4 linked regions of the Caenorhabditis elegans genome follow. The protein of the gene in region 4 purifies or fractionates together with the protein of the main gene of each other region. This does not show direct contact. Each region holds a gene or a part of one and is shown on either strand. Other genes may lie near its edges.

Evidence for each region.
Region 1: the proteins of cmd-1 (region 4) and madf-3 purify together in Caenorhabditis elegans (affinity purification with western blotting; one study listed by BioGRID). This does not show direct contact.
Region 2: the proteins of cmd-1 (region 4) and tag-342 purify together in Caenorhabditis elegans (affinity purification with western blotting; one study listed by BioGRID). This does not show direct contact.
Region 3: the proteins of cmd-1 (region 4) and cmk-1 purify together in Caenorhabditis elegans (affinity purification with western blotting; one study listed by BioGRID). This does not show direct contact.

What each region holds. Positions count from the first base shown.
Region 1 is NC_003280.10:4,332,859-4,339,550, forward strand, and holds madf-3 (Alcohol dehydrogenase transcription factor myb/sant-like protein), read left to right. Parts: upstream 1-1,889; 5' UTR 1,890-1,953; intron 1,954-2,817; 5' UTR 2,818-2,848; coding exon 2,849-3,412; intron 3,413-4,214; coding exon 4,215-4,293; intron 4,294-4,855; coding exon 4,856-4,952; intron 4,953-5,367; coding exon 5,368-5,566; 3' UTR 5,567-6,180; downstream 6,181-6,692. Other genes in the region: H20J04.4 (RNA helicase), read left to right, coding at 584-877.
Region 2 is NC_003281.10:9,466,261-9,470,423, reverse strand, and holds tag-342 (transcription initiation factor TFIID subunit 13 family protein), read right to left. Parts: upstream 2,268-4,163; coding exon 2,189-2,267; intron 2,030-2,188; coding exon 1,858-2,029; intron 1,815-1,857; coding exon 1,631-1,814; intron 1,586-1,630; coding exon 1,497-1,585; intron 1,404-1,496; coding exon 1,134-1,403; intron 901-1,133; coding exon 747-900; intron 700-746; coding exon 601-699; 3' UTR 525-600; downstream 1-524. Other genes in the region: baf-1 (Barrier-to-autointegration factor 1), read right to left, coding at 2,631-2,777, 2,833-2,955; B0464.9 (putative protein phosphatase methylesterase 1), read right to left, coding at 3,362-3,499, 3,545-4,079, 4,129-4,163.
Region 3 is NC_003282.8:1,822,925-1,827,515, reverse strand, and holds the start of cmk-1 (Calcium/calmodulin-dependent protein kinase type 1), read right to left. Parts: upstream 3,036-4,591; 5' UTR 2,989-3,035; coding exon 2,884-2,988; intron 1-2,883. UniProt on the Caenorhabditis elegans protein: Calcium/calmodulin-dependent protein kinase that operates in the calcium-triggered CaMKK-CaMK1 signaling cascade which results in transcriptional activation. Transcriptional activation occurs at least in part through phosphorylation of crh-1.
Region 4 is NC_003283.11:1,154,492-1,158,695, reverse strand, and holds cmd-1 (Calmodulin), read right to left. Parts: upstream 2,426-4,204; 5' UTR 2,389-2,425; coding exon 2,355-2,388; intron 2,074-2,354; coding exon 1,835-2,073; intron 1,738-1,834; coding exon 1,590-1,737; intron 1,533-1,589; coding exon 1,504-1,532; 3' UTR 507-1,503; downstream 1-506. Other genes in the region: T21H3.5 (Serpentine Receptor, class H), read left to right, coding at 310-445. UniProt on the Caenorhabditis elegans protein: Calmodulin mediates the control of a large number of enzymes, ion channels and other proteins by Ca(2+). Among the enzymes to be stimulated by the calmodulin-Ca(2+) complex are a number of protein kinases and phosphatases.

The sequences.
Region 1 (6,692 bases), on a different chromosome or scaffold from region 4:
CTTTTCAAGAAAAAAAAAGGAATGAAGCGCATATTTACCTGAAAAAATATTTTAAAGAAAAATCTTTAAATCTTTAAAAAATTGAATTTTTTTTCTAAAATTTGATTTCAAAAAACATGAGAAACATATAATTTTCGGCAAAAAATAGGGAAAAATTGCCTAAATTTGAAGCTATATTTTTTTTTCGGAAAATCTAGAAAAAAAGCGAAAAAAAAACAAAAATTGCACTTCTTTTGTAATTTTCCAGTGCCATATTTTGGATAAAAAAGGAAAATTTTTAATTTTTTTTTCGAAAAAAGCGAGTTTTTCTGCTAAAAACACGAAAAAGGCGGAAGAAACATTTTTTTTCAAAAAATTTGAATTTCCCGCCAAAATATTGAATTTCCAAACTCCTTCCACTTTCAATGACGCCAAAAAAAAATATTTTCCTCTCATTTTTCACTCTCTAGTTGACTGCGTTTCTCTCTATATTGACGCAAATAATTTTTTTTTCATCATTTTTTCCCCCGTCTCTTTTCATTTCTCTACACAAAAAATCTACTTTTTAATCAATAAATTCCCTTAATTTTCGCATTTTTTTCAGGTCAGCCCAAAACATGTCACCAAATACGTCACCCAAGTGCTTGTGGCGAAGAAAGAAGCCGAGTTGAAGCTGGAAAATCAGAAATTCGGAGAGAAAAAGGAGATTAATCGAAGAAAAGAGCTTCTGATGAGTGGAATGGATGAAGATGAAGCTGATAGGCATTTGGAGGAAATGAGGACTCGAAGAATGACAAATTCCAAGAGAAAGCTGGAGAAAATTAGTGGACAATTGGATAAAAGAGATCGATTTCAGAAGAAATTGGCGGCGAAAAAAGTGAAAAAGGAAGAAAATTGAATTCATTTTAAATATTGTAATTTTTGTTCAGCTTGTGTCGATTTACGCGGCTCGTGTACTCCTCGTGGAGAAGTGCAAAATTTTTACAGTTTTTGCTCAAAATTACAGAAAACTGTTAACAAAATGCAAATTTTTGAACAATTAAAACAATTAAAAGTGGCCAAAAATTACCAAAAATTGCAAATCTCCACTTTTTCAAATTAAAATTACGGTATATTTTTGGCATTTAAAGTTGTGTTTGCGGCAAACGATTTTTTTCCGGCAAATCGGCAAATTTGCCGGAATTGAAAATTTGCGGTAAATCGGCAAACCTGCAACTTGCCGAAAAAACGGAAATTGCCATAGATTTTCGGCAAATTGCGATTTTTTACCTTTTTTTTTTTTGATATTTCAGAATTTAAATTTTAATCGGCAAAACTGTACGCATCCTATGACTATTCCTACATCTAATTTGAAAATTGGCAAATTCTATGAAAATATCTAGAAAACCGACAAAAAAATTTCAAAAAAGCACAGTTTCAAGTTTTTCCGTCTCGTAAAAATTCTTCCAAAAAATTCCTGCAAATTTATGTTCGGTAAATCGGCAGGTCGACAATTCGCCGATTTGCCGATTTTGTCGACAAAGAAATTTGCCGAACAGCAACTGTTAACAAAATGCAAATTTTTAATTTAAAATTAAAATTTTTAAGTTGCCAAAAATCACCAAAAATTGAAAATCTCATTTTTTTTCTGGGATTTAAAGCAAAAAATCATTTTTTTTTAGTGTTAAATTCAAAATTCTAGTACTTTACTTCTCCTCGTGGAGTACACGAGCTTGCGATTTCTGTTGTTTTAGATTTAAATTGTTACTTTTTTTGTTTTGTTTTGTTTTTTTGTTGTTGATTTCTTTTGAAAAAAAATCAATATTTTCTATCACATCTATTTTCTTTTTATTCCCCATAATGGTTTCCTTAAAACCTTCCTCATAATATCTCTAAAAGCCGTCTCAAAAAGCGATTGCTCTAACACTTTCAGCTAATCATGATCTCCAGTGAGCACAACTATCAGCATTTATATCACGAAGAACAATACGATATGTGAGTTTAAAATGATATTTGGATAAATTTAGAAAAATCGAATTTTTGAAAAAAAAAATCAGATTTTTCTCAAAAAAGATCCAATTTATTTTCCGATAAATTGGCGAAAAATCAACAATTTTTTATATATGAAAAAAGAAAATTTTTCTAATTGTAAGTACTTACGAAGTGCTAAAAATAATTTAATCTACTAAATAAAAAAATTAAAAAAAAACTTTTGTTGTCAAAATTTTTTTTTTTCAACAAACAATTTTTTATTTTAAAAAGGTAAAAAATCAGTTTTTGCAAACACTTTTTTTCGAAAAAAAAAAACGTTTTTTACTTTAAAAAAAAGATGTTTCTAAAAACCTTCGAAAAATACCAGATTTTTCGAAAAAATTGCAATTTTTTTAATACGAAAATTTAAAAAAGTTAATTTTCGAAACAAGTCCATTTTTTAATTATATATTCTATCAAAAAAAATTGAATTAAAAAAAAACTTGATCTTCCATTAAAAACACATTTTTTTTCGATAAAAATCTTTAAAAATCTTAAGGTGTTTTTTCTTGAGAAAAAATACTCGATTTTCTTTTTAAAAAAAACTGCGCTTTTTTTGTAAAAAATTTAAAAAAAAATTAATTTCCGACAGAAAAACTATTTTTTAAAATTATATATTCGATAAAAATTCAAAAAATCGCGTTTTCCTTTAAGAACATATTTTTGGATAAAGTTTGATGTTATCAGTTTTTTTTTTCAAATTAGAAAAATCAAAAATTCACTCAAAAAAATCCCAAAAAGCATTTTTCCGAAAAAAAAGTTCGCTTAAAAAAATCAGAAAATTATCTGATTTTTCTAAAAAAAATCATAAATAACCTTTTTTTGCAGGAACTACACAGCGACCCGCTTCGGCGAGGAAATGATCGAACCGACATTCAACCTACGTCTCATCGAAGCCGTCCGTCATAGTCGATGCCTTTTCGACAATACAGACCGACAATACCGTAATACAGAATACAAAAATCGAGTTTGGCAGCGTCTGGTTACTGTACTCGGTTTTGATGGTGATCCGAGAATGTTATCTGCGAGATGGAAGCAATTAAGAGATAAATATGGAAAAGAGAAGAGAAAACAAAAATATGGAAATGAGAAATCATCATGGCAATATTTCAAACATCTTCATTTTCTAGATCCACATATGACAGATCGAGCAGAAATATCACCATCTCGAAAAGAGCCAACTGGAGTTCATGAAAAGATTGCTGAGCCATGTTTTGGAAAAAATCTAATTCTTGAAGTGAGAAGGCATCCGTGTCTTTATGATGTTCGTGATCCAAAATATCGTCATGGAGACTGTCGTACTCAAGCATGGGGAATGATTATTGATAAACTACGATATCCTGGAACAGTTCCGTCGATTTATAAACAATGGAAGAAGCATCGAGATCGATATGTTAGGGAGAAGAGGAGGCTGAGGAATTTGGTAGGCATTTGGAGGCCTCATGAAAAGGAGAACTTATGGAAAATGGGATCTGGCAGGCGGCAGTTGCCGGTTTACCTATTTGCCGGAAATTTTGATTCCCGGCAAAGTGACGATTTGCCGGAAATTCTAATTTTAGGCAATTTGCCGGTTTTCCGGAAATTTTGATTTTTGGCAAATTGCCTATTTGCCGGAAGTTTTCATTTTGGGCATTTTGCCGATATGCCGGAATTTTTAATTTTAGGCAATTTGGCGATTTGCCCGAAATTTTGATTTTTGGAAAATTGCCTATTTGCCGGAAATTTTGATTTTTGGCAAGTTGCCGATTTGGCGATTTGCCGGAAATTTTGATAAACGGCAAATTTGGCGATTTGCCGGAAATTTTGATAAACGGCAAATTTGGCGATTTGCCGGAAATTTTGATATTCGGCAAATTTCCGGTTTGGCGATTTGCCGGAAATTCTAATTTTAGGCAATTTGGCGATTTGCCGGAATATTTTTATTTTCGGGATATTGCCTATTTGGCGATTTGCCGGAAGTTTTAATTTCGGGCAATTTGCTGATTTGCCGGTTTGCCGGAAATTTCGATTTTCGACAAATTCGGCAAGTTGGAAATTTGCCGGAATTGCCGGAAAAAATCGTTTGCCCCTCCCTGCCTGGCACTGCCAACGCACAAAACTCAATTTTTCTTTGAGAAAAAATTGGCACAGTGCCAGAATCCCCTTTCTCAACAGTATCCCGTTTTCGTGGAGCCTCTATTTTTGTTTTAAACAGAAATTTTACAAATTTTTCTTAGCAACTTCAGGGTGATCCGAATGTTCAAGATGTGTCAACTTGGGAGATGTATGATGATATGGCTTGGATAGATCAGCATTTGGATGAACGTACGAGCTTTTTTTCCTGGAAAATTAAAACAAAAAACCTTTAAATCAAACTGATCCTGAATGCCGAAATACCATAAAAGGCCCCCGAAAAAAAAAATCAAAAATCATTAAGTTTGAAAAAAAATCGGTTGATTTTGGTTAATTTTCAATTCTGACTAATCTCCTAATCATTTAAATTGCCGCGCCTTTTTCAGCGCCGCACTCCGTAGATCTGTATCTGCGCGACGTTAATTCTAGTTTTTCCCGTTTTTTCCTCGCAAGTGAAGACAATAGTGCGGATGCAGATCTACGGACAATAGTGTGGATGCAGAGAGATTCAGGATCAGTTTGCGCATTTTGAAGTAAAATCCCTCATTTACTCCTACTCCTCCAGCTTTAAAATCGTTTTTTTTCCTCAATATAAATACGAAAAAAGAGTTTAGTTTTAGAACTCTTGTTTTGACATGTAAAAAATTTCGCACCGCCATATGTGAAATTACGAATTACGCAGTTCCATGTATTATTTTACGTGGCTCCTAAAATCGCCGGAATAAATACTTTAAAAAAAACTAAAATTTTGCAGAGCAACTATCTCGATGTGCTCGAAGTCTGAAACGAGGGGGAAACAATGACGGAGGAAATCAGGATGAAATGTCAGATTATGGAGATTACGATGATGAGTGAGTGAGCTAAAATGAGCAAAAAGTTGATGAAAAAAAAAGAGGAAATTTGACTCTAAAATTGATCAACTTCTAACCAATCAGCGCTCGGCCCCTTCTCTTTTTTGAACCAATCAGCGACGACCTGTGCCGCTGATTGGTTCGGAATTGCGCGGAGTCGGGCGCTGATTGGTCGGAAGCAAATAGTGGCGGTTTTAAGACAATTTTCGGTGATTTCTATTAGATTCTCTAGAAAAATTGAAAAATTTTCAAAAAAAAAAATTCAAAGATTTAGAAAAATGAAATTTTAAAAATTTGGAATTTGCGAAAACTTGATGATTTGGTGCAATTTTTTCCGACAAGTAATCACAGATAATTCCAAAATAATAATTTTATTTTGCCAAAAAAAAAATCAATAAACCCCTGAAATTTCCAGCATAAACTACGTGATGATGGCTGAAAAGCGACCAAACAACGGTGATGTACTTCTCGACGGAGATTCTGCATTCTCTGCATCAATTGTATCGGATCTAAGGACACTTGGAGAAGAAGCACGAATAATTGCAAAGCAGCAGATTATGATACTTTTGGAATCCGCTAAACCTCCGTCTACACCTGCTCCTAATTATTTGTGATTTTTATTGAATTTTCTAGCCGAAATTTTCAATTTTTTGTCCACTTTTTATTACCCAACCTCGAAATTTCTTCGATTTTACCCCAAGCCGGGTCTCGCCACGACCCAAATTGATAAGTTGAAAACTTTTTTTTTGATAAGTTGAAAATTGAAAAAAGTGTGCGCCTTTAAAGAGTACTGTGTTTAACTGTGAATTTTTGTCGAGTTTTTCTCACAATTTGTGAAAATTTATTGTCTTTTTTATCGAAAAACTATGAAAAATTGATGAAAATTCACGAATTTTTGAAGTTACAGTACTCTTTAAAGGCGCACACCTTTACACACGCACTTAACAAAAATTGTCGCTTCGAGACCCCAGGTACTGTAGTCTTGGCGCATTTATTTCCAATTTTTTTGATCTTTATCCCATCAACTGGTCTCATCATATTTTCATATTTGTACAATATTTCTGTATCTGTATTTTTTTTTGTAATTTTTGTGGGCAGTTTCTTAATTTCCATCGCCGTCTTTCCTATCTCAGGTCCTTTTATTTCATGAATAATTGATTTTTATCCTAGAAAATTTGGATTTTTTGTTGTAAATTTACCTCTTTTAAGGTGTTCAAAACCTACTTTTTATCTGTGTTTTTTGAAAAATTTTGAAAAATTTTTTGCGGATGGGTCTCACCGCGAAGTCTGAAAGTTACACTGCAACTTTTTCCTCGCGAGGGACGAGGAAAAGTGGTTTCTAGGCCATGGCCGAGGGGCCGACAAGTTTCAGCGGCCATTTATCTTGCTTTGTTTTCCGCCTGTTTTCTTTCGTTTTTCATCGATTTTTTTCGTTTTTTCTTAATAAAACTGATAAATAAATATTTTTTGCAGATGCTAAAACAATTTCCAATTTCCAAGTGAAAAAATCATGCATTCAGTGGGCAAGCAGCGGTGAAAGTGGTCAATGTAATATGATGGATTACGGGAATACAAAACCTAAACTTTTTCTGAAACATGATACATATGATGCTTAGATGCTGAAATTACCTGATTTTCATAACGAGACCGCTGAAAAAGTTTTGAGGTTTTCAAAATTCAATTTTTTTGTGCGAAAATCTCGACTTTTTCACCAAAAAAGTTGAATTTTGGAAACCTCAA
Region 2 (4,163 bases), on a different chromosome or scaffold from region 4:
CTCTTTTTTTCATTTCTCTCGCCAATCTTTCTCTTACTAATTTGCTCATTTCTCCTTTATGTTGTGATACTTTTCCCTTCCGGTTCGTTTATTTCTGAAAAAAACGAAAAAAGTTAGTGAATCTCTTGAGTCTTATGCCGCTTGAGATCTCTCGCTGACATGAAAACGCTCAATATAGGTGCACCCCCATTCGTTTGTTGATACTCCGTTTTTAGGACGTGTCTTTCTAGGCTTATTCGCATTTTTTCAAACATTGTATCTATAGTCTTTATTGCATGTTTCTCGAAAATGTATTTTCAATTTTTCCAAAAAACTAACACATTTTTCTAGTAGTATCCTTTTTTATCTTTCTATAGGAAATGACACAAAAATCCCCGTTTGAATATTTTTTTCACATCCACCCACACCCAAAACACACCGGCTATTGATCTCGTGTATCGCAGTTTACGTGTTATCGTTATCACATTTGAATTTGTTTAAAATGATAAATGCTTAAATTCTCTAGTTTTTTTTTTCAGATATTTGTTACCAATTATTTATAAAATTGAAAAAAACTGACACAAATAATGAGATCTTTTAGTATTATAAAGCCATTAAAATTTAAATCAAAATCCTGCCGTATTTTCGGAATTTTCTGTTTCTGCGCAAAGGTTCCTCGTAATAAGAGTAGCTCAGTGGACCTCCTTCTGCGGGATTCATCTGAAAATATGGAGATAAATATGAACAATTAGTGAGCTTGAACTCACTTTTCGTCGCTCCAGAAGGGCATTTCCAACGATCTCCGAGATAATATCTTTGGCGAGAAATGCGAGAAAAACTTGAGCGGATTCGTCGTGAACTGGTGGATTTCCAAGCCATTGGAGCAGAAGTTGACGATTGTTTGTTGGAGGCGATCGTTTTCTGAAATTAGGAAAAATGTTAGTAAATGTTTACCTTCAAAAAAAAAAGCGCGATTTTCTTTAATTTTTGAGAGGCTTTCATTTCCCCTGAAGTTCATTGAGAAAAAAAAGTTTTGAAATACTTAAAAGTTAGCTCTACAGTACCCCTTAAAGGTGCAAGCTCTATAGAATTTAAGAAAACCGGTCGCTTCGGGACCGGATACCGCAAAATTTCGCATTGTGTAATATTATTACCTTTTTCTTGCATTTGACTTTGAAAATGTGTCACTATAAACCACAGGAACTGCTGATTGATTCTGGAAACTGACACGTCGAGCAAGTGCGAATCGACTGTATTCATCAGCGTTCATATCTTCGAGAATTGTTTGAAGAACTATTAATTGTTGATTGTGATTCTCATCCACATCATTTTCGAATGTATTGAAATCTAATCCAGCATCGAAAAACGACTTTTGAGCTTCTTGAAGCAGGTTTTCCTCGGATGTAATTGTACCGTACGTTCTCCTGTAATATTTCAAAAATTTTCTAATATTTTCAGACGCAAAAATTCGATTTTTTGCCCCCAAAAATACAAATTAAGACAGTAATAGTAATAACCTCTTATTTTTCAAATATTCTCCCTCTTCTCCACCAACTTCACCAATTTCATCCATTGGATCAACTCCCTCTTCTATCTTTTCATCAGTCTGAAAGTAATTATTCTAAATTTAATTTTTTTCAGTTTTACAGACCGTTTCATCTTCATTCTCTACTTCTTGTCCACAAATATTTTCAGTTCCGTTTTTAGAAAATGATTTCGCTCTCATGAATGCCGACATTTCCACACGATTCTTGAGATATTTAATAAAACGAGAAAGTACTCCTTTTTGACTGTTGAGAAGTTGAAGCATATGTTGTAGCTTCACATTTGGAATTCTGTAAATGTTTGAATTATTTCGGAAAAAAAAAATCTGCTTACTTATTATCATAAACCTCTATAACATCGTTAATAAAGAGAACCAACTCGTTTTTCAGTATATTCACAACGAAATCTTCATTTTCAGAAAGTGGATTTTCGTCGTCTCCCGAAGTGAACATCAAACTCGTCACAACACTTCGAATCGATGGTTCAAGCTCATTTGAGTCATCTACTGAAAAAATAAATTCCGTGTGAATATTGTAACAAATCCGAAACTTTTTTGGAAACACACATTTGAAAATGTATTTTTCAGTATATTTTTTGAAAAAAAAAATTAATTTTTAACTTCGATAATTGTCGAATTGCCGCCAACCCGTGTAAAAATGCTCACATTTTATCTCCTGATCCAATGTTGGGCGAGCTTTTTCTGTGGTCTGTACCTTCTTTTTCACAGCCCTTTTCGGAGGCATCTGGAAATCACCATAGAATAGAAAATATTGTTTTTATTCCAAGTAAACTTTCGAACGACAACTTTCGTAATAAAAAACTTAGAAACACTCTTCAGGATCGTAGAAAATATTTTATTTGGAGGGAGAAAAATCGCAAAATTAAAGTCAAAAACAAAACAAGAACCGTAGTCCAAGACCACACGACAAGGGGGAAAACTTGGAAGTATGAGAAATATTTCAGAAACAGATTAATTTGAAATGGGGCATAGTCGCAAAGCGGAAAACGACTACACTGGAACAAATGGTGTTTTTCGAAGTGCAAATATGGCCATTGATGATTATAGAGGAGAATCAAATCGATGCTTAGCAGAAATATTGAGCAGTTTACATGAACTGATCTGCCCACTCGTTCAAACAATTGAACGCCGTCTTCGCGTGATTTGCAGTCACTCCAGCCGTCTCTTTCAGCCATTCGATAAACAAATCCTCGTCTTTCTTCAGAAGGAGATACTGTCCGAACAGTACGTAGGCCTGAAATTCAAATTTTAACATTGATCGAAAATTTGAGAAAAAAAAATCTACATACTTTATCGAAGCCTGCATCGGTGAGCTTGGTGCCATATGTTGGCCCGATCCCGGCGATGCATGTGACTTCTTTGTCGCCCATTGGCTCTCCGACGAACTCACGATGCTTAACAGAAGTCGACATGGTTTCTGAAACACAAAATAATTACATTCTTGAATTTGAAAATATTTTCGAAAATCGTAGTAAAAAGATAGTTGCGAAATAAAATAAAACTGGCAAGAATAGATAGGAAAATAGACAACGCTCCCTTTTAAACGAAACGCTTGGCGGCCACAGTTCAGCGGAGCGCGTTTGCATTCTGTCTGCGTCTCTCGATTTGCGCACTCTTTCACGAATACTTCTTTTTGACTGTAATTTTTTGGCATCTGCCTCTCCTCTAAAATAATCGATTCATTCGTATGTCGCTGACATTTATTATTCCCAAGAACTAAAAAGACGGGAAATTTAATCGATAATCTTTTCATATAAAATATTTTTTTCTTAACTTGTATAGAAATGTTGTGAAAATATTGGAAAACAAAATGAGCAATTATTGGTGATGACGTTTTCTGTATTCGAGAATCGCTGGATCTGGTGGTGATGCAAGGGCTGAGAATTTCGGTTGGGCAATTCTATGGCGGCAAGCGAATCTTCCGACTTCATCTGCAAGATTTTGTGGGCTATCTTCCTGCAAGACAATTTATATAAATTATTAATTGAGTATAACATTTACCTGAACACAATGTCCAACTTTTGGTAACACACAAGTCTGAAACTTTCCCTGCATTTGACCAATTGTGAGATCCCTGTCCAGCCGATCAACGCCCGCTAGAACAAGCATCTTCGGAACGGAACATCCCAAAAATTCTTTGGATAATCCTTCAAACCATCCTTTCCAGTACTGTTCTGTTGTTGTTAAATCAATTCGCCAAGTGTACTCGTGTTCCGATACTTCTCTAATTTGAGACGGCATTGAGACCCGTGCAGCTGTGGGATTCCTCGCTGTACCCGAAGAAAGGCACCAGTGAATGGCTTTTTCGATAGAAGGAAATGAAGAAGGCCTTGAATGTAAAAAATGAACCATTCCTCCAAGTGCTTCCATAGCGGAACCTTCGACAACATCAATGACAATGAGTGCAGCGACTTTTGAAGAAATCATCTTTGCATTCAATGTATGAATGGCCAATGCACCACCCATACTGTGTCCAACAATGCATACTGGTGAATCGTCTTCGCCGAAAATGTTCTTGAAGATTGCTCCAATATCTCTACAATATGTCGATAGAAGTTACAAAACTTATCAAAGCGAAACCTCACTTTATTTGGGTTTCTTTCGAAAGATCGTGCTCATC
Region 3 (4,591 bases), on a different chromosome or scaffold from region 4:
TGATGACCTGCGGTCTTGAAGAAATTGGAAATGAAGGAGAAAGGGGCTCTGCGCGCGAGCTTCACATTATTGTTGCATAAGAAAGTGGGATCTGTACGTCACTAGACGGGCGCGGCGGCTCAGCGGCGGCTGTCAGAATGGTTTAGAGGATGAAAAATAGAATAAAAGCTGGTTTTTAATAGAAAATTGATTTGCCAGACTGTTTAGAAGAGCTAAGAAATTTGGAAAAATTCTAGAATTTTGACTGAAATTAAGGTTTGGCAACATGGAGCGTGCCTCCAGAGATATGGTGCATCCACCGATTTTTTTTTCAACATTCAACTGACCTCAATAAAACATTGATTTTATGACAGAAAATTAGAAAAAAATAAGGCTCCTTGTTTTTACACCCTCGATGCACCATGTTTCCAGCGCAAAAACAATATTCTCTACAATATTTGCACGATGAAACGTCATCAAAATGAAACAAAACCACCACTTGTGTCATTTTCATGACGCCATCAATGACACCTCTTATGCTTTTTCAGTCCCCGCGCGGCTCCGCGAGCAGCACTATAATTTAATTTCCTTTCTCCCCTGTCTTAGGTCATGAGGAAGGAGAGGGCAAGATTGCGTGTTATATGAATGACAAGGGGTGTATATGTGTGTGTGTGTGTGTGTGTGTGCAACAACAACACAAGCTTCGTTGAGCACAACGGAGCATGAGATAATTAGATAGTATGGGGAGAAGGTTTTTTTTTGGAAAAGGGGCATAATTGGAAGCAAAAATGGGTCAAAAGTCAAGAGTTATGAGGCGTTACTGGTAGTTTAATTATTTTAGCAATTCACTTAGGGCAGTGGGGCTTAGGCTTAGGCTTAGGCTTAGTCTCAGGCTTAGGCTTAGGCTTGGTCTTAGGCTTAGGCTTAGTCTTAGCCTTAGGCTTAGGCTTGGCAGCTAACGCTCGCCACTGACGCTATTTAGGCTTGGGTTTATAGCGTTTTTTTCATTTTTTAAAGGGTTCCCGTTGGCCGATCAAAGCGAAATTTAACAGGGAGTCGTATAGGCCACCAAGAAGCTTAAGTCTGAAGTTTAGGCTTAGACTTGGGCCTGGCCTTGGGCTTGGGGTTGGGCTTATGCTCATGCTAAGTCTGAGGCTTAGACTTTGGACACAGCCTCTCAAGCTAGACCCGTCTCCAATGTAGTCGTAGTGACAATGTCTAGACCCCCTCTTTTCTGGGATTTTCTATAAAAGGAAGCCTAACCAGGTTTACCTCGAAAATAGAAATTCTACGTGCTGGACTTTTCCTGAAAAAAAAACGAAATTGAATTCGGTCGGGGGGTAATATCCAAGGCCATCAAATTTTTTTCCAAAGCATGTTCGTATGGTGTTGTAATACGTGTGTGGATGGACCTGATGGGGATAAGCTCATCAATCGGTCTATCTCTCTTCAACAAAATGGGTGCTCTCTTCAATGTCCACCACACACACACACACATACACTCGTTTAATTCAGAAATTCTATTTCTATCTCACTCCGTTGCTCTCGCGTCTCGTTTCTTTGCCCGGGCACCGCTTCCGATTCGGAGAGTGGGGGGGGGGGGGGGGGATAAAGTCAGGGTGCCCCTGAAATTGAGCGGCGGCGCGGCTGGAGACAGAGAAAATCCATATGCATTGGGGGGAGATGAAGAAGAAAAAAAGAGAAATATAGGGGCTCTCGGTTTACAGAAAAAAATTTAAATTAGAAATCATGACGCATTAGCTTTTCCACGTGGCATGAGCTTTTTAAAGCAACCTAGTTCATATGAAAAAAAAGGAGTCTTCAATTAGGTCAGTGCATAAAAATTCGTGGCAATTCGAATTTTAGCCAATTCTGCAATTGTCGAAAATGTCGAATTTTTGAACATTTTGAAACTAGACAAGTGCTGAAAATGCGGAATTTTCTGCAACTTGACAATTGCCAAAAAACCCTGAATACTTGACATTTTCAAAACTCGAAAATTACTAAAGAGCAGTTGCTGGAATTCTCAGAATTTTAAAATTTCACAGAATTTAATTTTTTTTTCAGAGATGACATTCTCAGATTTTTATGAGCTGGGAGAGGAAAATAGTTTGCTCGAGATTTTTCTCGAAAATTTTGTGAATTCAATAATTTTCGGTTTGCCAAAGTATCGATTAGAAAAAAAAAGAAATTTTTAAATTTCGGCGGAAGCATTTTGATAATTTTTGAGAATTTTTAGAATTCAAAAAAAAAAGAAGTTTTTCACAGCCATCAAAAAACATGGTGCATCGAGAGTTGCTCGGAATTTTCGGAAAGTTTCATTCGAAAGGTGGCCGAGTTTTCTATATTCTCGATCATGACCATGAGGAATTTACCAAAGTTTTCAGGGAGAAAACTCGGCCACCAATATCACTCCACGGCCACGACCTAGGGTCTTTAAAAAACCTGGTGCATCGGGGCTTTGTCTCTGAATTTCTAGAAATTTGTGTTTCTGTAAAGCGGGTTTTCATCTTCCCACGGCAATCGGATAAATTATGAGTTTCCTGCCCACGTCACAAGGTCGTCATAAAACATGGTGCATCGAGGCTCTGTCTCTGAATTTTTTGAAAAAAAAAATCGAAATTCGCCACGTTAAACATTTTTTTCTATTGTTTTTGTAAGACCATTAAAATTGCCCGTCTTCATAATTATCTGCTCTAAACACACTAAAGCACAAATAGCTAACCATTAAAACTACCCATAATATAATAATTAACCAGAATTTTTAGTGTGGTAAGAAACCCAGAAAATCTAAGAAAACTTCTCAAAAAATGTCGGTATTTTTTCTTTTTTTTTCTTAAACGCTCCCTTCTTTAAGAATTACCGCTAAGCCCAAAAAAATTGCTAGTTTCGATACCAACTAACCTTCGAAAAAGCTCCCGTCCCAAGGACATCACGAAAATCATATTTCTCCCGAATCGTGGCGTTCGGCGCGGGACCACTCCCATCCCGTCGCTTAAAAAGGGGCATTGGGCTCGTCGAGGGGGAGCCGTTGAGTAAGAAAAAGGAAAAGGAGCAAAAGGGGGGGGGGGGGGGGGAAAAAACTAGAATATGGCTGGAGACGAAGAGAGTTGGAGAGAGATGGAGAACGTCAGAGAAACAGACTCCGCCCCTCCCCCCCAGTGCTCTTTCTCTATCTCTCATCTGACTCTTAAAAGCGAGTGCTTCATCTCGTCATCCACACACACACATCTCGTGTGTTTCCCTTCCCCCAATTGCAATTACTTGCCACCCCGTCTCTGCTCCCTCTCTCCTCCTTGCCAACCGACGTCTTCAGCTTCATCTCCCCCCAGTTTTTCGAGAGAGAGAGAGACCTATGCTGCCAATTTTCTGAGGCAGTGAGAGAGAGAGAAAGTGTCTTTCTCTCCCCTCACTCCGTTCAACTTTCAAGACGGGGGAGAAGGCAAGCAGCTGATTCAATGAATCATAGATCATTGAAGACGTACTTGATGGCCGAGGCGATGATGATGAAGTCGCCGACGTACTTGAGACGTAGTTCGATTCTAAAAGGGAGGGGGTACATGATAAGCTTTAAAAGCTTTAACAGTATCCCTGGAATACCTGTAAAAATATTTTTGGAAAATTTAAGAACGAGGGCGGCTCATGGAGAGACTCTCTTCCAGGGGTGAGTGGCAAACGATTTTTCCGGCAAGCGGCAAATACGGGATTTGCCGAAATCGCAAATTTTCGGCATATTTGGCCAACCAGCAATTTGCCAAATTGCCGAATGAATGTGTCGTGAAAACGGCAAAATTTTACGCATCCTACATCTATTTAGAAAATGCAGTAAATTTTATGAAAATATCTACGACGAAAACATTTTACAAAGACACAGCTTTAAGTGTTTCCGTTTTATAAAAAATCCGTTTAAAAATTTTTGGCAAGTTGAAATCCGGCAAACCGGCAAATTCGTCAAATTACGGAAAGTGGTATTTTTCGGCAAATCGGCAAACCGGCAATTTTCCGACCTCTCGCCTCTGAAAAGTGAGAGAACCCAAAAAGAGGGCACATGAAGACGGCACGGCATTAGCCAAAATTGCACATTTTCGGCAAACCGGTAACTTGCCGATTTGCCGAATTTGTCGAAAAAACGGCAAAATTGTACGCATCCTATGAATGTTTCTTACATTTATTTGGAAAATAAGCAAATTCTATGAAAATATCAACGGCGAAATCTTTTCAAACAGGCACAGTTTTAAGTGTTTCCGTCTTTTAAAAAATCCGTACAAAAACTTTCGGCAATTTGATATCCGGAAAACGGCAAATCGGCAATGTACCGAAAATAAAAATTTCCGGCGAATTCGGCAAACCGGCAATTTGTCGAATTTGCCGGAAGTAAATTTGCCGAACAGTAATTGCCGCCCACCTGTACATCAAGAGATTTCAAAAAAAAAAGTTTGGTACGAAAATTTGAGTCGGATAGGCAAGCCTGCCTGCCTGTATCCGCATTGTTGAAAGTTCAACTAAAATAAAACCCAGCAGGCAGGTGTCGGTCGCATTGTAGGCAGGCAAAGGCAGGCCTACTGAGCTCAGTTTTCTTTGGAAGTCGAGCAATTTGACTTGTAATTTCAAG
Region 4 (4,204 bases):
TATTTATTGCTAAAATATTGAAATTTATCAAATAATGCAAAAAAAACTGTCACTACTATTCGAAAATAAATTCATTTCGAAAATCGAGCCCGTAAATCGACACAGTAGTAACAGTAGTAACAGTAGTAATTTAAGGGGTTACTGTAGACTTCGCTGCGAGATATTCTGCGCGTCAAATATGTTGTGCGATACGCAGTAGCAGTGTTTTGTGGTCCTTTAATATTGAATCATCATGTTTGCCGTCAATACCTAACGAGACCCAACGTTTGGGGGTGGAGCCTGCCGCTTTTCAACTTTTTCAATTTTCAGACGACAACTCGGCTTCATTATAATCGATTTTTTCCGGCAAAAAAATGTGAACCTTTCCGTCTTTGTCGTCGATAATCAGCAGCAAGCCGATCAACTTCAAATGTCCACCGTCGGAGCACCTATTTCGATGATGTGAGAAGTTTTTTTTCAAAAAAATAAAATTGTTCTTTTTAATTTTTAAATTGACTTTTTGATTGAAAAACCCCAAAGCATTCAAAAAAAATCAAGTTTCATTTGAAGATTTTCTTTTTTTTTTGTTGAATAAGTTCGCATCAAGGGACGAGAGAAGCGAGATAATCAGAGATAAAAATTTGAATTGTTCAGAGATTATAGAGACGGTGGTGGTGGTGGGTTGGTTGGGAAGAATGGAATTAAATTATTAAAGGATTTTGGAGACTTTGACTTTTACAATAATATAAAATAGGAATTTTCAAAGAAAAAATCCAAAACAAAAAAAAAGAAAGCAATGGTGCAAAAAGTGTTCACTAGGCGCCAAAATTTTTTGCCGTTGCTTGTCGAAATCGAAATTCAAAGCAACAGAAAATATTTCAGGTACAATTTTAAAATGGCCCGTGTGACGGTGTGTGTGTGGTGCGAAAAGAGGGAATTTTCTACACTTTCTATAAATGGTTGAGGGGGAAAGAGAGAGGAAAGAAAGATTTTCGAGTTTGGAATACATTTTTTGGGAAGAACAATTTGGAAGAAGAGAAAATATGAGAAAAATACCAAGTGGGAAAAGAAGAAGCCAGCGGTTTTTTTTAAGTTTTTTAAATTTTTTTATGGGGTTTTACAGGTTGGAGGCATTATTTTGAGGAAGGGTCAAGCCGGGGCAGGCGACCAAGAACTGGAGGATCCGGGACTTTTTAATTTGGGGGCAGGGGCAGGAGAAGAAGAAACTCAATCATTGTAAAGAGGAAATAAGAAAAAAATGACTTATAAATGAGTTTCACATTCTAAGAAAAAAACAAAATTAGGTTGAGAGCACGTCTGTCAAAAAAGAGGCAAAAAAACTTAAATTTGAACATAAATTACATCATTTATAGCATTTTTTGACTGGGCTTGGCAATTTTTTTTTGGGGCTCGAGAGCGAAATCACAATTTTCAAGCGGGGAAGAATAAAAAAACGAAAGGTGAGAGAAAAGGTGTTGGTGATTCGCAAACGATACGGCGGCTTCAGATCCCGATTGGTGTGATTTACTTGGTTGTCATCATGGTGACGAACTCTGAAATATGGGAAATTTGATGAAATTTCGAAAAAAAAAGGTCTTGTAAGGACTCACCCTCATAATTGACTTGTCCATCTCCGTCGATATCGGCTTCACGGATCATCTCGTCGACCTCTTCGTCCGTTAGCTTCTCTCCCAAGTTGGTCATGACGTGGCGCAGTTCAGCGGCCGAGATGAAGCCATTTCCGTCCTTGTCGAAAACCTGCAAATAGGAAGATTTGAATGAGATTTTCTATACTACATGAGGCTTCTCTATAGTGAATCAAAAATGAATTTATAAATTTCCACAAATCTCTTACTCGGAACGCCTCACGAATCTCCTCCTCACTGTCCGTGTCCTTCATCTTGCGGGCCATCATCGTCAAGAACTCTGGGAAATCGATGGTTCCGTTTCCGTCAGCGTCCACTTCGTTGATCATGTCCTGAAGCTCGGCTTCAGTCGGATTTTGTCCCAAAGACCGCATAACAGTTCCCAATTCCTTGGTGGTGATTGTGCCATCGCCGTCCTTGTCGAACAAACTGAATGCCTCCTTGAACTCTGAAAATTTGGCAAAATTGATTTGGTTTTTTCTCGAATTTTGTAGTTTTTTATACAATTGTTGATAGATTTTTCGCCGCGAGAACCAGCCAACATCTGGAATAAAACACACAAAAATAGTGGCGCTATACATCTGCTGCTACGGCTAATGTTTCATCCATTAAATTTAAATTTCTACGCCGCGCCGCTTGGTTTCTGCTCAATTCGCTTCGAAATGAGAGAGGATTAGATTTCTTCAATCTCCCGGTCCTCCGTCCATCAATCAGAATTTAAAAAAGTACCGGCAATTTGCTCCTCGGTCAGTTGATCGGCCATCTTGCTTTCGCTGTGCAGGGGGTGTTGTTAGAAAACCCTGAAAAATGAAAAAGGATAATTAATTAATTAATTAAAATCAATATAAATTGTTTGAAAGCGAGCGGAACGACGTAAACAATGATGAATACCGGTGGGTGAAACGGTGACGAGAGAGAAAAAATCGGAGAGAATAATCGAAAAAAGAGAGAAAAGAGAGAAAATAGAGAAGAACTAGAGAGAATTTACTGACTGATAAGCCAACGATAGGTACAAATTTTATATTTCGAAATGAAGAGAGAAGGAGACGAAATCAAAGGTTGATTTTGTCGAATTGGAAATATTTAGCGATTTCACTCTCCTCAAAGCCGAATTATTATTAGAGCGCGCTTGCTACGCGCTTTGCGTTTCTGCATCCGCGATGTTTTTGCCTGTCCACTGAAAAAATCAGATTTATTGAATCTTAGGAACAAACCAAAATGACGAAAATCAACTTTTTTCGTCCACTGGTTGAGAAAAAGTTGAAAAAATCAGCGGGATATTTTTTTTTGTTATTTTCTGAATCTATTTTTCTATCGAAAATCGGTTTTAAACCACTTTTGACTCTAAAGTAAGGTCACAAATGGATTAAAATCAATTTTTAATAGGAAAATATTTAGAAAATAAGAAAAATCTCGTTGATTTTTTCAATTTCAAACCTTTTCACAACCAGTAGACGAAAAAAGTTCATTTTAGTCATTTTAATTTCGATGTTCACTGTCTAGCAATAGGTTTGTCCGTGAAATGCTGAAAAAAAAACATCTACTTTCAGTGGAAACACGTGGTGCCAGGCTGGGCTGTCCCATTACGGTTTGATCTACAAAAAATGCGGGAATTTTGCCCAATAAATGTGATGTCAGCACGTTCTTAACAATGCAAAATCAGTTGAGAACTCTGTTGTCTCTTCTCCCGCATTTTTTGTAGATCTTTGTAGATCAAGCCGGAATGAGACACTCTGACACAACGTGTGGAAAGGCAAAACACCGCGGATGCAGAAATGCGAAACGTAGAAAATTATTCGGCTTTGAGGAGAGCGCGTGATTTCTGTCAAAAATCCACCAAAAAAAAACAAATTTCCAGTGGGTAGATCAAAGATCCCCTGCGGATATTCCATTACACATAATAATCGGAAAACTCTGATGGCCGAGACGTCTTGCGGAAGGAAAAGAAATGAAACAACAAAAAAGAGAGAAGATAGGGGTCAGTGTGTGTGCGTGTTCTGGTTATCGAATTATCCCCACAATACTTCAATTTCCTCTTGTTTTGCACGCAAAACGAGAAGTTGAAATTGGGGGATGGGGAGGGGGGGGGGGGGGGGTGTAGCGAAAACGGCCAACGTCTTATTCATCTGCGACGACCACCACCACCACCGCAACAAGAAAAGAACGGAGACGTGTTCGTCAATGAAGAAGTCTGAACACAAAAACTAGTTCTTCCTTCATCTCATCATACGTCCGAAAGAACATCAGCAGACACCGCGTCAACAACAAAAAAAGCCGACCAATTCTCAGCGGAGCGCATTTTCGATATGGAACATTAATACGAAAAAGGGCTGCTGTACAAGGGGATTATATAAGCGCGCGCGCGAAACGGAGCGGCGGTGAAAACTAAAGCATAATCCGACCCGGCGCAAGGGTTTTCAGGTTTTAACCTATAATGGGAAACCAGGAAAAGGGAATAAACAATCAAAAGAGACCTAAGAAATGTTTTTACAGAATGATAAATCACGAGAATATGGAAAAATAGTTGCGAAAACCTATTTGACGAGTTGAAAAATCAATGAATCACATGATTTAGCAAA